Linked DNA regions of Saccharomyces cerevisiae S288C. Changing the gene in region 2 together with the main gene of any one other region gives a genetic interaction. Each region holds a gene or a part of one and is shown on either strand. Other genes may lie near its edges.

Region 1 (3,636 bases), on a different chromosome or scaffold from region 2:
AAATGCCTCCGAAAGTGCCAGGAAACTTTCTCTTTTATGTCATAAACTATTATGCCTCCTGGATGTATTTCGCTATCCAAATGAGAACACTTTTACTTGCCTTTTATATTTCTACGTTTCAGAGCATTTAGATCCCGAGAGTCCCGATTGTGTACTGAGCCCCACTAACTTGCTTACTCTGCACCATCTTTTAAATTTGTCCATGACCTTAGGTCTTCAATATGAGCCTTCGAAGTACAAACGTTTCAAAGATCCAGAAGTGATAAGGCAGAGACGGATATTATGGTTAGGAGTTCAGTCATTACTTTTTCAAATTTCTCTTGCTGAAGGTGATGCTGGTAAATCAAATAGTGAATATATGGAGGCATATTTAACAGACTTCGAAGAATATATTGAAGCTTCCTCAGAGTATGAAAAAAGTTCTGCGAGTGAATCGAACGTGCAAATGAATGATATTGTTTGGAATAAGTACAAATTTCACGTCATTTTGAGTAAACTAATGTCTGATTGCACTTCAGTTATACAACATCCGCAGCTTTTCCACATTTTAGGAAATATTAAAAGATCTGAAGATTTTATGGCTGAGAACTTTCCTACAAGTTCGATTTACCAACCCCTTCATGAAAAGGAACCAAATGCGATCAAAGTTGGCAAAAGTACGGTTCTCGATGTCATGGATATTCAAAAAACTGAAATATTTCTTACAAATATTGTGGGAAGTATGTGTTTTTTAAACATTTTTGATGTCCTATCGTTACATTTTGAAAAAAAATGTGTTATGCACTGGGAAGAATATGAAAAGAACTATCATTTCCTTACTTTGAAAAGTTTCAATGCATACTTAAAGCTAGCAGGGTTGATATCTGATTATCTCGAGAATAAGTTTCAAGGGAACATTTTAGAGAGTCGCGGTTATATCATAGATAAACAAATATGTTTTATGCTTGTAAGGATCTGGATGTTCCAATGTCGTATTTTGTTAAGGTTTTCATACAAGCAAGAAAGTCAGAAAAAATTGGCCTCTTCCAGTATATCCACTAACGATAATGAAAAAGAAGATGAAATGATTGTCATTTTAGAAAGACTTATTAAACACATTCGTAACCAAATGGCACATTTAGTGGATCTAGCAAAGGGAAAACTTCAAGATAGTTACTTTGGTGCTTACCAAACTGTTCCCATGTTTAGATACGTTGTGTATTTGATCGATGTTGGCGGCTTAGTATCTGTGACAAATGGGTTTTGGGATAAGATTTCCAGTGATGGTGAAATACCGCCAAAAGTACAACAAGCCGTGAGATTGAAATGGGGATTGGACTGCAATAATTCGAGAAGAATCAAACAAAAGTTAATAAGCAGCCAGAGTTTGCAGAGTTTCAATCAAGTTCTGTTGTGCCAGATGGAGGATGCAGTTCTCTCCAGTTCCTTCGCAATAAAAGCCAATACCGCTATGTCCCAAAACACGGCTGAAGAATTTTTCAATATCAGCGAAGAAGAGGCTTTAAATCAACTATTGGAAAACAACAATTTTGATGCCTTCTGGGATTTATTAGGTGAAAATCTGAGCGATATGCCTTCTTTGTGAGAATACGGATATTTGGAAAGGCTAAAAAAAAAAAAACAAGCCAAAAACAAGAAACACTGTTATCCTCCACGTTTTTTCCACTGTTTTAAGACTCGACAAGACGGAAAGATTCCTCACATTTCGCAGTGTTTCTTTTAACCTGCTCGTCAATTTGAAAAAATGAGCATGGTTAGGCAGGCGGAATGTAATAGGTGCGGTGCGTATAAATAAGTATCTCGGCCGTTCCTCTATTGCGCTCGGCCGAGATGTCCTACATGCATAAAATAGATTAAAAAAAGGGATCACGATACTCAAATATGCATATAATAACAACAACACACTTTGCGGTAAATAGAAGGATAATATCGTAATCTTTTGCTGGTTTCGATGATGACTTGAAAAAATTCAATTACTCTTTCGATCATCTAGAAGAAGCATATCCATCGTGCTTAAAATGATTGGGTCCGCGTCCGACTCATCTAGCAAGTTAGGACGCCTCCGATTTCTTTCTGAAACTGCCGCTATTAAAGTATCCCCGTTAATCCTAGGAGAAGTCTCATACGATGGAGCACGTTCGGATTTTCTCAAATCAATGAACAAGAATCGAGCTTTTGAATTGCTTGATACTTTTTACGAGGCAGGTGGAAATTTCATTGATGCCGCAAACAACTGCCAAAACGAGCAATCAGAAGAATGGATTGGTGAATGGATACAGTCCAGAAGGTTACGTGATCAAATTGTCATTGCAACCAAGTTTATAAAAAGCGATAAAAAGTATAAAGCAGGTGAAAGTAACACTGCCAACTACTGTGGTAATCACAAGCGTAGTTTACATGTGAGTGTGAGGGATTCTCTCCGCAAATTGCAAACTGATTGGATTGATATACTTTACGTTCACTGGTGGGATTATATGAGTTCAATCGAAGAATTTATGGATAGTTTGCATATTCTGGTCCAGCAGGGCAAGGTCCTCTATTTGGGTGTATCTGATACACCTGCTTGGGTTGTTTCTGCGGCAAACTACTACGCTACATCTTATGGTAAAACTCCCTTTAGTATCTACCAAGGTAAATGGAACGTGTTGAACAGAGATTTTGAGCGTGATATTATTCCAATGGCTAGGCATTTCGGTATGGCCCTCGCCCCATGGGATGTCATGGGAGGTGGAAGATTTCAGAGTAAAAAAGCAATGGAGGAACGGAGGAAGAATGGAGAGGGTATTCGTTCTTTCGTTGGCGCCTCCGAACAAACAGATGCAGAAATCAAGATTAGTGAAGCATTGGCCAAGATTGCTGAGGAACATGGCACTGAGTCTGTTACTGCTATTGCTATTGCCTATGTTCGCTCTAAGGCGAAAAATTTTTTTCCGTCGGTTGAAGGAGGAAAAATTGAGGATCTCAAAGAGAACATTAAGGCTCTCAGTATCGATCTAACGCCAGACAATATAAAATACTTAGAAAGTATAGTTCCTTTTGACATCGGATTTCCTAATAATTTTATCGTGTTAAATTCCTTGACTCAAAAATATGGTACGAATAATGTTTAGATAATTTTTCAGTAATCAACTACGCAAGTAAAGCAGTAAATACGTTACTGCTGGTATTAATGTCATGTATTGAGGCAATGATGCTATGCTCTTAACGACATGTAGCTTACAAAACGTTCCTATGGTTTTACTGCATGGTATTTACAAATTAGATAGCAGTTCCATCCGCCCTTGACATATTATTATTCAGACAAGGTGTATATGAGCATAAATATGTATATATGCACATGAGGTTTGTATTAACCTTGCAACTGTACCAAAATACAATCTTCTTTGCTGCTATTTAACGGCGTATGTGCAGTTCATAAATGCGTGTTCTGTATAGTACATCCGCGCACATTCTTCCTAGCGGAAGACATATTAACGTAGCCCGTACGCCCTGGTTAAGACTTGGTATAGTTCCAATAATTGGAATATTACTGCATAGTGGTCCAATAGCAGGATTTAGCATAAACATGATAATATTTAGAGATGCTTTCATCCCTCTGACGAAGGTGGTAGAGAACAAGAAAATGAATAACATTAT
Region 2 (4,198 bases):
GAACTTCCCCAAAGTTTTGAGGTTTGGAAATTTTCTTGAAATTGAAAAATTCTTGCGGGGTGCGAAGGGTTGCTAATTTAGATTGCAAGGATTGGAACTCGCTCTTAATATTTTCCATGGAGAAGTTTTGAGTGAAACGTGAAACTTGCTATAGAAATATAGAAAAAAGGTTAACGCGTTAGTATAGTTTTTCAATGATGCAAATGTGTTTACAATTTAGAACTTACGGCTAAAGCTCCTAACTGATTCATTATTGGAGTATTTGATGTTATTTTATGCGTATTTGACGGCTGATAGTTCCAAACTCAGTGTTCAAAGCCCTGCAATATTGAATTCAATCTGAATTCTTTCGATTTGTATTTATATTCGTTGTTATTATTTATTTTTTCTTTTTGCCTCGATTGCATGTGACAAAAGTGCAAAATTCGTATCGCACGACACAGAACTCCGCCACTAATTAGAACCAGAGAAGTAGCAATGAAGGCTCATTAGTAGGTTATATTTAATTGTTTACGTATTCATGTTACGACACGTCCCTTTTCAAAGACCTAAATCTTGTTTCACAAGAGCTTTACAGATTGGATGATACGTGTCCTTGAATTTGTCGAAAGTTGCAAGTGCCAATCGACGGTCTACAGAGTTTAATAGTCTGTAACCGGGACGGACAAACTTCATTCTACCTACAGTTCCCAACCAATCGGCCAAATGCTTATATTCTTCTTGCAGCTTGGCAAAGATCTGAAATTTGAACATCTTGAAAACAACTTCCGCGTTCTGTGATTTAACAATGTTATCTTGATAGATATCTAACAGTGCCCTAGATGCCACGGGAAACTTGGCCCAGTCAAAATCTTTTGGTTTCTTGTTGGAATGGCCATTTTGTGTCAAAGTTTCCAAGAACAAAACCAATTGATTTGAATTAAAATCCTTAATGTCAATAGCGTTAAATTCAGACCGGAAATCCTCTGTGGTTTTCAAATGTTGAGCCATTTCGACCCACTTGTCAGCCAATTGATAAACATTATCAGCCAAAGCCGTAATAAAATGAGGCCTTGGTGGCATACCTGGTTTATACAGCCAAGTTTCCCAGTCAACGGAATCCAAAATTTCTTTCTTTTCGGGATAGAACTCATACAAAGTATCCAAAAACTGGAAAGTATCCAATGATTTTTTGGCAAACTTCTTGAAATAGTGTCTAATAAATGGATCAAATTCAGCCTTACCACCCAAAATAGTTTCCAAGTGAAATAGTAAGTTGAACCCCTTTTCGTACGGAACAGTGGAAAAGGCATCGTCAGGGTCAGTGTTATCGTTCAAGTTTTGTACCAAAGTGGAAAATCTTTCAGGATCTTTCATAGAATCAATAGAATTCTGCAAATCGCTCCAACCAATCAGAGCACTGAAATGTCTAGTTGGTTCGCCATGAATGGCACCAATAATTCTTCTTTCTAAGTAAACGGTCCAACCTTCATTCAACCAAAAATGATTCCACGAACAATTGGTCACTAAGTTACCAGACCATGAGTGAGCAAGTTCATGGGCGATGACATCAATGTTGGATCTGTCATGTGCAATCAAGGTGGGCGTAGCAAAAGTCATATTCGGAGACTCCATACCGCCGTAAGGGTACGAATCGACGTTAACTAAGATATCATAAGTGCCCCACTCGTATTCAAAGATAATTTTCTCTGCAGTTTGAATGAATTTCTCTACATCGTTTTCAAATTCCCATTGACAATCTTTCAAACGAAATGGTTCAGTGTAAACTGTGGAACGAGGTCCAATTGGAGCGCTTGACAAATCACCGGAAGCAATACCGATCAGGTAGGCTGGGATAGGGACTTTCTGTTCAAATCTGTAAATATTAGTATCCTTGCTTGTATCTTCAATCCTGATGCCTGAAAAAACCACTGGTAGTGGGGACTCGATAGATGCAGTGAAAGTAGACTTCACAGAGGGAGTATCAAAGCAGGGGAACAAAGACCTCGCATGAATAGCTTCCAACTGTGAAAACACGTACGGTTTACCGCCCTTGGTTTGCTTGCTGTTCAACCATTGCAAAGCGGTGCACTTGTCAGTCGTACGAAATTGAATATTCAAGGTAAAGTTATCGTTGCAAGAAGCGTTATTGATGACTAACCTGGAGCCCAATGGCTCCTTTCTTTGCTCAATTTGAAAATCTGCCTTGGAACCATCAATATGAACCTCCTGGACATCCAAATAGGATGTATCCAGATGTAATTCATCCGATTTATTTTTACCTTCGTGCAGTTTTTTCAATTGGAATGTAACGCTCCCTGAAATGGCTGACTTTTCGAAGGAAACAGACAGGTTTAAATCGGTGTGAAGAACTGCGAAGTCCTTATAATTTGATAAAGTAGACTGATCGTATTCGGGGGAGCGGGAAGGTCTTCTCTGCTCAATTGAAAGAGGCAACATTTTATGAGGGGTGGAAATGTGTATGTTTCTTGAGATTACAGTAAGTAAACCTCGAAATCGAAGCGTGGGCAGGTAAATAGAGCTGGAATGACGAATGACAAATGGAAGCAAGAACATCAATTAGAACACCAAGATAACCTAATACATAAAGCAAACTATACTAAAGTGCGTTTATATAAGTCAAACGAAAAAGTGGAAGAAAAAAAGTGACATGATTTTCCATACGCAATGCCCCCGGAAACTGAAGACGCATTGTGTCAAAAGATGAATGAAAGCCACGACGAAACAGCCGAAAATGGTGACAGGAGAGGGCCAACGAGCCCCGTGAGAAGACCTGTGTAGGGCGTACCCATGAAGGAGGCCCCTATGATTTTCCATTTGGAAACACTCAGGATGTTTTCTGATGACTGGATGATGATGTCCTTGAGGACCAGGAGACAGCCAAAAAATACAATTGAGATCGCGAGCACAACAACCAAAGGCCTTGTGTTGATGTCATAGCGAACATACCTTTCATTGATATGATGCGTAGATGGCGTTACTGACGGTGAGCTGTTGTACATAGAGTTTTTGACTCTCACGCTTTGATTATCCCTAAAATCACCCGGAATTCTGTACTGGGATTCAACCGGCACTGCCTGCTTCTGTACCCTTCTTTTATGCAGCAGCTTCCGCAGTTGGTTAGTGGTTCCGCATTTCTGTGATTTGCTTCCATCTACAGTTGAAGTTTTCCTCTTAAAGAATTGCCCAATTGACCTCTTTGATACGTGCTCCATTAATATCTTGCGCCGAAATTGTCACACTATGCTCACGTATGATTAGTGTATTTATATATGAATAATTCAAATGGCAGGCAGTTTCTTGTTCGAGCCAGCATTGGCGAAAAAAATGCCAAAAGTAGAAGTAAATACGGTAGACACTCCAGCAAGATAAAGCTGCAATATATAACACATCACGGCGATGCTTGTATATTTAGGAGCTCTTACGTCCACCAATGCTAATATATCCTCCTAATGATGGCGCTGATACTGGTAAAAACTCATAATGGTAGTAGTCATTAGCCAATACCTGCCTCTTTTTTCCGGGTCATGCCGCATTCTTTAATCAAAAGGCGATGCAACCTACTACATGAGAAGATGACCGCGCAAGCAAAGGTTTAGGAGAGCGTTATACGCTTTACCCAGCCGTCCATTGCACCATGTCTTACCAACGGAACAGTGCAAGAGCCTCTCTTGACCTCAGAAGTCAATATCAACAACTGGAAGGCAGAATGAGGTCAGAACATTTTAATCCCGCCTATCAACAGCAGCAACAAAAAGGCCAGAACATACCCCTGTCACTACCCTCGTCGCTTGCGCAACGCAATCCTATACCTTACCCTATCGACGCTGTGACTTCCGATCCCACTATCCCGGCTCAGTTGAACGTATATGATCACGATCGGCAAAATTCGATAGTCGATGCTGCGGCTGGCACCAATACGACGCACTCTTTGAACTCTAATAATATTCCATCATCACAAAATAATAATATTAATAATAACAATATCAATAATGTTGGTTCCTTCACTGACCCTTCCATGCTAACGCTGCCAAAAATGTCTTTACATAGCCACCAGAAGCAGTATGATTCTAACCAAAACGATCCTAGGTCCCCTCTGGCGATACTGATACCGACTTCTGCGCAGCCCACTGATGTCTTGTCTGCTAGGTTTTCTGCCTGGAGAAATGTTATTCGTGCCATCTTGGTATATCTCTCT
Region 3 (7,235 bases), on a different chromosome or scaffold from region 2:
ACAGACCATCCAAAGATTCGAAAGAAAGACTGAGGTGCTCCGCATAAAATCTTTATAAACTTTAGAAGTAAATGGTTTCGTTCAGAGGGCTGACTACACTAACACTACTTTTTACCAAATTAGTAAACTGTAATCCTGTTTCCACAAAAAATAGGGACTCTATACAGTTTATTTATAAAGAAAAGGATAGTATATACTCTGCCATCAACAATCAAGCCATCAATGAAAAAATTCATGGAGTCAATTTGGGTGGGTGGCTAGTATTGGAGCCGTATATTACACCTTCTTTATTCGAGACTTTCCGTACTAATCCGTACAACGATGACGGTATTCCTGTTGATGAATACCATTTTTGTGAAAAATTAGGCTATGAAAAGGCAAAGGAACGCCTTTATAGTCATTGGTCGACGTTCTATAAAGAGGAAGACTTCGCGAAAATTGCTTCTCAAGGCTTCAATTTGGTTAGAATTCCTATTGGGTATTGGGCCTTTACAACGTTGAGTCATGATCCCTATGTTACCGCCGAGCAGGAATATTTTCTAGACCGGGCTATCGATTGGGCTAGGAAATATGGTTTGAAAGTATGGATTGATCTTCATGGAGCCGCTGGTTCACAAAACGGATTTGATAACTCAGGGTTGAGGGATTCATATAAGTTTCTGGAAGATGAAAATTTAAGCGCCACCATGAAAGCTTTAACGTATATTTTAAGCAAATACTCAACAGACGTATACCTGGACACCGTTATTGGAATCGAATTGCTCAATGAACCGTTAGGTCCAGTTATTGACATGGAAAGATTGAAAAATTTGCTTTTGAAGCCGGCTTATGACTATTTGAGAAATAAAATTAATAGCAACCAGATCATTGTAATACATGATGCTTTTCAACCTTACCATTATTGGGATGGGTTTTTGAATGATGAAAAGAACGAATATGGCGTCATAATTGACCATCATCATTATCAGGTGTTCTCGCAGGTGGAATTAACAAGAAAAATGAATGAACGTATCAAAATCGCCTGCCAATGGGGGAAAGATGCCGTAAGCGAGAAGCATTGGTCCGTAGCAGGCGAATTTTCAGCGGCCTTAACAGATTGTACAAAGTGGTTAAATGGGGTTGGTCTAGGTGCCAGATATGATGGAAGTTGGACCAAAGACAATGAAAAATCTCATTACATAAATACGTGTGCAAACAACGAGAATATTGCCTTGTGGCCCGAAGAGAGAAAACAGAACACTAGAAAGTTTATCGAGGCTCAATTAGATGCTTTTGAAATGACTGGTGGATGGATAATGTGGTGTTACAAGACAGAGAATAGTATCGAATGGGATGTTGAAAAATTGATTCAACTCAACATTTTTCCGCAACCTATCAACGATAGGAAATATCCTAACCAATGTCATTGAAATTTTGTGGCATATATTTAAGGTCTTGGGAATGTGATGATTATTATTGGAGAAAAAATTGCCATCTAAAACTCTTTATATAACATGATGAGGTATACAAATAAAAAATACTTTATATCTTATAATTATGCAAATAAAAGTGCTTCCATCAACCGCTACTTCACTTTTTATCTGAACTATGAATGGGGAGCTCATGATGATTACCTGTTGATATTACGTGAGGCGGAAGAGAAGCACGAGACACGGGTCACTCTCGATATTACCGGACAGTTTACTTAGACTATGTAACGAATATGAGAGGAAGAAAAACAATAAATAAATACAAACCTCTCCGCAGTTTTATGAAAGAACAGGACAGGGCGTCTATACCGATTTTTACATCTATCTTTTGAGTGCTTGAAAGGAGACGCTGGACTATATCTTTAGGTTAAACATCTGTCAAATGGCAGCAGTACCCACCATCGACCTTACACTAGCCGATTCAGATAATGAAGACATATTCCATTCTTTTTCGTCTTCAACAAGTGTGGATAAGATAGACATTAGGAAAGAAAATGGGAAATTAAGAATGGCAGGCTTGGAAGTCGCCCAATCTAATGACGATGCAGCACGTCAAGCATTCCATGTTTTCAAGACGAACATATCAAATAATGAAACCTTCGATACTATTCTTTCAAAGAGCAAGACAATCACAGACAGTACCTTCAACAATGAAAAATCTTCCAACGAAGTAAAACAGCAGCAAGTCTTGAAGGAAGAAACGATGGGATCTTCCAACGATGAGAAGAAAACACAAGAGAGCAGCCCAAGCGCAGAGATGATAAAACTTTTTTATGAAAACGATGATGTGCCGTTATCCGATAGTTTTAAACAAAAAGAGGAAGGTAAAAGAATAAATCAGGATGAGCAAGTGAAGGAAAATATCTGTGGCATTTCTTCCTCATACGTCTCCAAAGACTACGATGGCGTTGAAGATGATTTCGAGCCTAATACTTGCCAGGACAGCAATTTGGATTTTCAAGAGGAGAAGTTAAACTTGAATAACAAACCGTCACAGCAACAGTTCAGCGACCCAGAAACAAAAGATAACAGTTTGAAGAGCGAAAACAAAGACCAAATAAAAGGAGTCACAACAACAAGTTATCGTGATTTACCTATTGAATCTAGTGCTTTCCAGGATTCTGAAACTCAAAATAACTCCAAAAACACTATACCTAACATCGTAAATGAAAAGCGAACGCCAGCATTACCGTCCAATCTAAGCTCTGTTGAGAGTTCCCTTAAAAACGAGACGGCCAAAGTAGAGGGGAAGACGACCGTTCGTCTTCCAGGACTTCAAAATAATGTTGCCTTACTTGAGCAAGAACAAAGTGAACTATTCAAGCACTTTAGTGAACAACCTGTCGATATTAGCGATTTTGGTCGTAAGATTAAAAGGAAGCATAGCGGAGATTTTGCAGATAACAAGATACTTAAAAGACCGATATTGCCCTCAAAAAATATGGACCACACAACACATAATTCACATGATTCCGAACAGAAAAATAGCTCGATTATTATTCTTTCAGATGAGGACGAATCTGGTGCCGGTATCAATGATATAGAAAGTCCTTTGAAAGTTTCTGAACCAAATACAGCTGATGCGCTTAGGAGCAGTGTACCAGAAGTCATATCTTTACTTGACCTACCCAATATTGACTTGAATAACTCAGTAATAAAAGAAGCAAGTGGCAGCAATTCAATTCCTACATCAGAAACAGACGCACAATCCTCGAGTTCGTCAGTTCTTCAAGGAACTATCATGACAGAACAAGCTACTCAATCCTCTCAACACGAATGTAACAGTTCACTTGATACTCTAAAAAAAAATCATCAAAAATTATTGAAGGATTTGAATTCTAGAGAGTCTGAACTACGTAATGCTCTCAGTTGCTGCAAGACAAACTCTGAAATTTTAAGAAGGAAACTAAGTAGAAGAGAAAAGGAGGTCTCTGATGCTGAAAAACATTGGCAGTTATTGTTGACATCGATGGCTAGAGGGGGAAGAACTATCAGCTCAACTCAGCAGATATTAGTTGATGAAGCTGAGAACCAATTAAACAAACTGAAGGAAAAAAGACAGTTGACAAAATCGAAGCTAGATTCAATCAATTTGAAAATGTATAATTATAACGAACAATGGAAGTCCTTTGTGCATTCGAAAAATATAAACCTGCAGAAATCTTTGGCTGCCCTTGAGCGGTCAGCCAGGGATAGTAAAGCTTCTGCGACCGTAAATAAAAGAAACGAATGCCTGGCTGAGAAAGAAAAGCTAGACCAAATGTTAAAAGAAGGAACCCTAAGCTTCAGTACCTACAAGCAGTTAACAGGGGAGATCCAGCAGAAACTGAATGACTTGAAACTGGGGGACCAACGCACAACTGATATCAATAGTGTATTGCCAATAGTACGGCAACCTCTCGCCAAAAGAGATTTATTTATTAAGTCCATTGATACTGCAAAAGATTTATTAGCCAAGAACACATCCAGGACAGAAATGACGAAGAGAATTCTTTATAGACATTTGGACAACTTGGTCTCTTATAAAAACTTTTTTGAAGACGGAAGATCCTTAATAGATATAAACAGAAGACACGTTGCACATGAATCGGCCCAAATATTGTTCACCAACGGTGTAAAGATGCCCATTGTTTTTGAAACATTACAAGATTACGGCATCAAGTTTTCTAATCCAGCCATTGTCAATCCTGACAGAAGAGCCCAATATTTTAAAAGCATCGAAGTTGCACGCGATCTCATATCAAAGTCTACTAGATCAGAGGATGCTAAACGAAAGATTACTCGATTTTTGAATATAATTGAAGAATTTCGTAAAGATATTGACACCGGATTTCCACCTACTCCTTTAAAAAGGGAAGGCGTCGGAAAAGCTGTTGTTGGGCTAAGACAACAAGGACTTAAGATGGACAGACTATATGAAAATTTGAGAAGATATAAGATTCCAATAACAAGTGAAGAATTACTGCAGCAAAGCTATTTATTTCCGGTAAACGCAGATCAACGACCTCCTTCAAACTGGAACATCGTGGAAAATACCGAAGATACTAGTTCTACAGCCAATGATCTATCGATGCAAGATGAATTTCACATCTCTAATATGCATGCAGCAGAAGATCAAGAACAGATTAGGGCTCTTTTAGAGAATGTCAAACAATCTGAATCCATTATAGACGGCGAAGCACTTACTCCCGAGGATATGACCGTAAACTTATTAAAACACCAGAGGCTGGGTCTGCATTGGTTGTTACAAGTTGAAAACTCCGCAAAAAAAGGGGGTCTGCTTGCTGACGATATGGGCCTGGGTAAAACGATTCAAGCTATTGCATTGATGTTAGCAAATCGCTCAGAGGAATCCAAATGTAAAACCAATTTGATCGTCGCACCAGTCTCAGTCTTGAGAGTTTGGAAAGGTGAATTAGAAACGAAAGTAAAAAAACGCGCAAAATTTACTACATTTATTTTTGGAGGATCAGGTAACGGAAAAGTTAAGCACTGGAGGGATTTGGCAAGATATGATGCTGTTTTGGTATCTTATCAAACTCTAGCAAACGAATTTAAGAAACATTGGCCGAAAAAACTGGATGGTGAACAAAATCAGCTACCAGCTGTGCCTCATATACAAGCTCTTAATAGGTTGAAAACCTCAAATGAATACTACTCTCCATTTTTCTGCAATGATTCAACGTTTTACAGAATTTTACTGGACGAAGGCCAAAACATCAAGAACAAAAATACAAGGGCTTCTAAAGCGTGCTGTACTATAAATGGAATGTATAGGTGGGTCTTGTCTGGTACGCCGATTCAAAATAGTATGGATGAGCTTTATTCCTTGATAAGATTTCTAAGAATTCCACCCTACCACAAGGAGCAACGGTTTAAATTAGACATTGGAAGGTTTTTTCAGAGAAATAAGCAATATCAATATGATAACGAGGATAGAAAAAACGCATTAAGAAAGGTTAGAGTCCTTCTAAATGCCATTATGCTTCGTCGGTCTAAGGCTGATAAGATCGACGGCAAACCTTTACTGGAGCTCCCTCCTAAAATTGTGGAAGTAGATGAATCACGCCTGAAGGGAGAGGAATTAAAATTTTACACAGCTTTGGAATCAAAAAATCAAGCACTCGCTAAGAAATTGTTGAACAATTCTACGAGGGGGAGCTACTCTAGCGTTCTCACATTACTACTTCGCTTAAGGCAGGCTTGTTGTCATTCAGAATTAGTTGTGATGGGAGAAAAAAAAGCGGAAGGTACAAAGGTAGCTAACGGCAAAAGCTTTGAAGATGACTGGCTCAGGCTCTACTATAAAATCACTCACATGAGCGGAGAAGCGCAGGCTCAGGTTATTACTTCAATGAATTCTATGACATGTTTCTGGTGCATGGAACAATTAGAACCAGAAGCGATGTCCGTTCTGACAGGTTGTGGTCATTTGATTTGCGACACTTGTATCGAGCCCTTCATCGAAGAGTCATCCATGCTACCTCAGGCCAAGAAAACCAAAGGTGGGGCATTTGCTATCCCATGCAAAGATTGTCAACGTTTGACAAACGAGAAAGATATTGTTTCGCACAAGTTATACGACCAGGTAATAAACCAGGGATTTACTGAGGAAGATTTGCATGCAGAGTATTTAAGTGAAATGGAGAAACAAAAAATACAGCAAAAAAATGTATATGTGCCAAATTTTGAGAGTTTAGAACCATCTACGAAGATAGAGCAATGTATACAGGTTATTCAAAGAGTTTTTGATGAATCAGCAACCGAAAAAATTATTATTTTTTCCCAGTTTACAACATTTTTTGAGATTCTCGAACATTTTCTCAAAAATAAACTGAATTTTCCCTACTTGAAATATATTGGATCAATGAACGCTCAGAGAAGATCAGATGTTATCAACGAATTTTATCGTGACCCTGAGAAAAGGATACTTCTGATTTCCATGAAAGCCGGTAACTCAGGACTAACATTGACATGTGCGAACCATGTAGTTATAGTTGATCCATTTTGGAATCCTTACGTCGAAGAACAAGCTCAAGACCGTTGCTATAGAATTAGTCAAACAAAAAAAGTCCAGGTGCATAAATTGTTTATAAAGGACTCTGTTGAGGATCGTATTTCTGAATTACAGAAGAGAAAGAAGGAAATGGTCGATTCTGCCATGGACCCAGGCAAGATAAAGGAAGTGAATAGTTTAGGGCGTCGGGAGTTAGGATTTTTATTTGGTTTAAACGCTCTTTGAAGAACTTGGTGAATTTTGAAGCATTATTGCGATACACATATGTATATGTTGATAATTGGTGGCTAAGCTTCTAGTTTGTAGGCTTAAGTAACTTCACTCGTTGGCACTTACGAGCTTGGCATTTAATGGAACAGAAAATAAGCCGTAAATCGGCCCTACTTTAAGTATAAGAAATATGCGAAATTTGATATGATCGTTTGAATTACTTTTTGAAAAAGAAAATACCATTAGTAACATACAATATAAGAAGCTCGTCTCCTGGATTTGGAAATCCACAAAAGATTATCAACAATGCCACGAATAACATAATTGCTTCCCCCTCCTGTTAATTGCTTTAACTCATTATTGCATCGTTAACAGTTGTTACTAAATTTGATTTTTGTTTCTCATCATATATGTAATCTTCAAACGCCAGTATAATTATACGCTCGCAACAGCTACCATACATTAATGAACCGATGAAAATATCCCGTTTGATGATAACTGGCAATTAAATGACAGTATTAATTAATAATCAAAGCTGA
Region 4 (3,802 bases), on a different chromosome or scaffold from region 2:
CATTATACGAAAGTTTATTTGACCCCAGACTGGTGAACTCTTCTAAGCAGGGTATTTACTTGAATTTACTATACAAATCATTAAAACAAGATGCACTCAACGTTGAACGAGTAGAAGCCTTTGTCAAGAGAATTCTTCAAGTTTGTTCTCATTGGTTGAACGTCGGCACCATTACTGGTTTTTTCTTCTTATTAATCCAGTTGGCTAAAACAGTTCCACAAATAAAAAATCTTCTAACCAACACGCCAGTTGATTACGAGTATGAATCTGATGCAGAAGAGGAGCAAGGGGACAAGGACATAAAAAGGAAGGAATACGACGGCCGCAAGCGTGATCCAAAGTTCGCCAATGCTGAAAAATCTTCTTTATGGGAAATCAACAACTTCATCAATCATTTTCATCCTACTGTGAAAACATATGCAAACGCCTATGTGACAGGAGAAACAGAGCAAATAGCTAAACCAGACCTGGGTCTATTTACTCTATCACACTTCCTTGACAGATTTGTCTACAGAAGTGCCAAGCAGACCAATACAGCAAGAGGTACATCTATTATGCAACCTCTGTTTAGTGGCTCACGAGTTAATGACTCTGTCTTAGTTAAGGCATCTGATATTATGCATGACCAGGGTCCCGTGAACACTGAAGACTGGCTAACTAAAAAAGTTGAAGATATCAAACCTGAAGATAAATTCTTTTATCAATATTTCACTACCAAGAAAACCGCTGATGGAAAAGGAAAGAAATCTAACAAAGCATCTAATTTCGATAGTGATGACGAAATGGATGAAAATGAAATTTGGAGTGCTTTGGTTAAATCGAGACCAGATGTTGAAGATGATAGCGACGACAGTGAACTTGACTTCGCTGAAGATGATTTCAGCGATTCAACTAGTGACGATGAACCTAAGCTGGACGCAATTGATGATGAAGATGCTAAAAGTGAAGGCAGCCAAGAAAGCGATCAAGAAGAAGGCCTCGATGAGGATATTTTTTACAGTTTCGATGGAGAACAAGACAATAGTGATAAAAAACGTTCCTTCGCTGAAAGTAGTGAAGAGGACGAGAGCAGCGAAGAAGAAAAAGAAGAAGAAGAAAATAAAGAGGTATCCGCAAAAAGAGCAAAGAAGAAGCAGAGAAAGAATATGCTCAAAAGTCTACCGGTATTTGCATCTGCCGACGATTATGCTCAATATTTAGATCAAGATTCAGACTAGAAAATAATAATACATTAACTAAACACTTCGGTGTTGTAAATTAAATAAGGAAAACAGAATTTTGTACAATAAAAAACGGTCCAATACGAAACCTTGAAGCGAAAGACGCATATCAGAGTTTTGCTGATAACTCTACTTATGTCCGCTTTTCAACATTATTAGAGCGGGAGTAAACGGAAAAAGAGTAATGCGGAAATAGAAACGGATTTTAGCTACAACTATGTCAGTTGAAATCGCCGAGATTGCTGACATCGTGAGACGAAACTAAAAACGATGGAACCACGTGACTCCTATTAGAAATAAATAATCCAGAACTCATTTTTAACCATTTTGTTTATATAGGCACATTTGTAGCGACAATTTTCTGTTAGCTAATTGCAGTAAGCAAAACAAATTTGTGAATACTTGATTAATATTCTGTGAAAGATTTTTTAATTATGAGTACCAATAAGTTCGTTGTACGAATAACGAATGCGCTCTTCAAGTCATCACTGGCTAGCAACAGTCCACCTGTTTACCCTAAGAGGATTAGGCATTTCGAGATTTTACCCAACGAAAAATGGGTTATATGGGGACCTGGAAAGGGCAAGTTCTTGGATGTACTGAATAACAAGTATATTTGTGAGCCCCCATTATCTTTGAGGTTTGGATTTTTGAAGGAAAGTTCGAACATCCTGCCGAGGATAGAGCAAGTGGCCTTCAAAGGGGTTATGCCAACGGCTCATTTAAGTGCTAGATATGAATACTTCAAAGATGACTACGATCAAACCTGCAAACAGTTTATATTTGATAAGGCAAGCGGATCAAATGCTGTTTCATATAAAGTTGAGACGAACAATCGGCAAATAAACATGGAGCTGTACAATGCATTAGTTGAAAATTTAAACCTCTCCAGTTTACAGGATAGGTGGGTAATGGGATTGAGTAATGGACAAATGAGGAGAGCAAGGTTAGCTCGTAGTATACTCAAGGAACCGGATCTACTACTTATTGACGACCCATTTTTAGGGTTGGATCCAGCCGCAATAGCAACCATTTCACAATTTTTAGCCAAATATGATAGTATAGAAGTCAGTGGCGGATGTCCAATCGTCATTGGTTTGAGGTATCAAGATACCATTCCAGCATGGTGTACTCATATATGTTGCGTTGATGAGAAAAACGGTATATTGTTTGAAGGCCCAATCGAAAAACTTCAAAGTAAAATGGATGAAACCAGATCAAGGGCACTAAAAGAACTAGAGCAGCTCAAAAAAGCGTCTAATTCCAAAGAGGACATTTCCATTAACGATTTGATTTGTATACATCCTATGTATGGCAAGAAAGAGCACGAAATTATCAAAATGCCTCATCTTATAGAATTAGACGGGTTGAGCGTTTCATACAAAGGCGAAGCTGTTTTGGAAAATCTGCACTGGAAAGTTCAGCCGGGTTCGAAATGGCATATAAGAGGTGACAATGGGTCAGGTAAGTCGACCTTATTATCTTTGCTTACGGCGGAACATCCCCAATCGTGGAATTCGAGGGTGATAGATAATGGCGTCCCACGAAGAACAGGTAAAACAAACTACTTTGACCTAAACAGCAAAATAGGTATGTCATCACCCGAATTACACGCAATTTTTTTGAAGAATGCTGGAGGAAGGCTAAACATTCGGGAAAGTGTTGCAACTGGCTATCATGAGGCGTCCTCCAACAATTACCTACCCATATGGAAGCGCTTGGACAAAAATAGCCAAGAAATAGTGAATATGTATCTGAAATATTTTGGCCTGGACAAAGACGCCGATAGTGTTTTATTTGAACAGTTGTCCGTAAGTGACCAGAAACTAGTCCTTTTTGTCAGGTCTTTAATTAAGATGCCGCAAATATTGATTCTCGATGAGGCATTTTCTGGAATGGAGGTAGAACCTATGATGCGTTGTCATGAATTTTTAGAGGAGTGGCCTGGAACAGTCCTTGTAGTGGCACACGTTGCCGAAGAGACACCAAAATGTGCCCATTACTTAAGGCTCATATCTCCTGGAGAGTATGAAATAGGCGATATGGAAAATTAAAGTTTTCTGTTGTGTGGCAGCAAGAGACAGAACCTCGATAATTTGACATACGTATATAATAGTACATGTACATAAAAAGCTACGCAAATATCGTATATCTGTTATACTACAAAACAATTACTTCTATATCATAGCCAGTTAGCGGGAACGACTTCAGCTAAATGGACTATCCATGCTTTAGGCAGAGGCGAAGCGCGGTGATTGGGTGTAACATCATCTCCTTTTCTCTACGACAAATTCCCAAAAAAAAAATTTATGCTATGTTAATACCTGCACAATTCAACCGTGCTGAAACGTAAAATTAAGGTGATTATACGGATAGTATACGATATTATCAATCTCATAAGAAAAATCTCTTTTGAATTTAACGGAGGGATTATTCATTAGAAAGCGTTCTTACCATTCACTAGGAGCGAATCCGTGGAAGGTGTTTTAACGTTGCCACGAAAAACAGCTCTACATCGAAATAAAAGACAACAATCAGTGCCCGTAAGTTTCATTACTATTTTCTATTATTATCTGCAACTT

The links.
Region 1: mutations in LAP2 (region 2) and AAD3 together harm fitness less than expected from each alone (positive genetic interaction), as found in Saccharomyces cerevisiae (one large-scale study listed by BioGRID).
Region 3: mutations in LAP2 (region 2) and ULS1 together harm fitness less than expected from each alone (positive genetic interaction), as found in Saccharomyces cerevisiae (one large-scale study listed by BioGRID).
Region 4: mutations in LAP2 (region 2) and YDR061W together harm fitness more than expected from each alone (negative genetic interaction), as found in Saccharomyces cerevisiae (one large-scale study listed by BioGRID).

Annotation. Positions count from the first base shown.
Region 1 is NC_001135.5:311,872-315,507, forward strand, and holds AAD3 (putative aryl-alcohol dehydrogenase), read left to right. Parts: upstream 1-2,018; coding exon 2,019-3,110; downstream 3,111-3,636. Other genes in the region: RDS1 (Rds1p), read left to right, coding at 1-1,585.
Region 2 is NC_001146.8:541,321-545,518, reverse strand, and holds LAP2 (bifunctional aminopeptidase/epoxide hydrolase), read right to left. Parts: upstream 2,557-4,198; coding exon 541-2,556; downstream 1-540. Other genes in the region: YIP3 (Yip3p), read right to left, coding at 1-148, 228-251; YNL046W (uncharacterized protein), read right to left, coding at 2,697-3,215; SLM2 (phosphatidylinositol 4,5-bisphosphate-binding protein), read left to right, coding at 3,638-4,198. UniProt on the Saccharomyces cerevisiae protein: Aminopeptidase that preferentially cleaves di- and tripeptides. Also has low epoxide hydrolase activity (in vitro).
Region 3 is NC_001147.6:690,624-697,858, forward strand, and holds ULS1 (translocase ULS1), read left to right. Parts: upstream 1-1,851; coding exon 1,852-6,711; downstream 6,712-7,235. Other genes in the region: SPR1 (glucan 1,3-beta-glucosidase), read left to right, coding at 72-1,409. UniProt on the Saccharomyces cerevisiae protein: ATP-dependent helicase involved mating type switching and in silencing interference through its interaction with the silencing regulator SIR4. Cooperates with UBC4 and UBC5 to mediate ubiquitination of SUMO conjugates.
Region 4 is NC_001136.10:572,510-576,311, forward strand, and holds YDR061W (uncharacterized protein), read left to right. Parts: upstream 1-1,654; coding exon 1,655-3,274; downstream 3,275-3,802. Other genes in the region: RNA-binding ribosome biosynthesis protein MAK21, read left to right, coding at 1-1,217.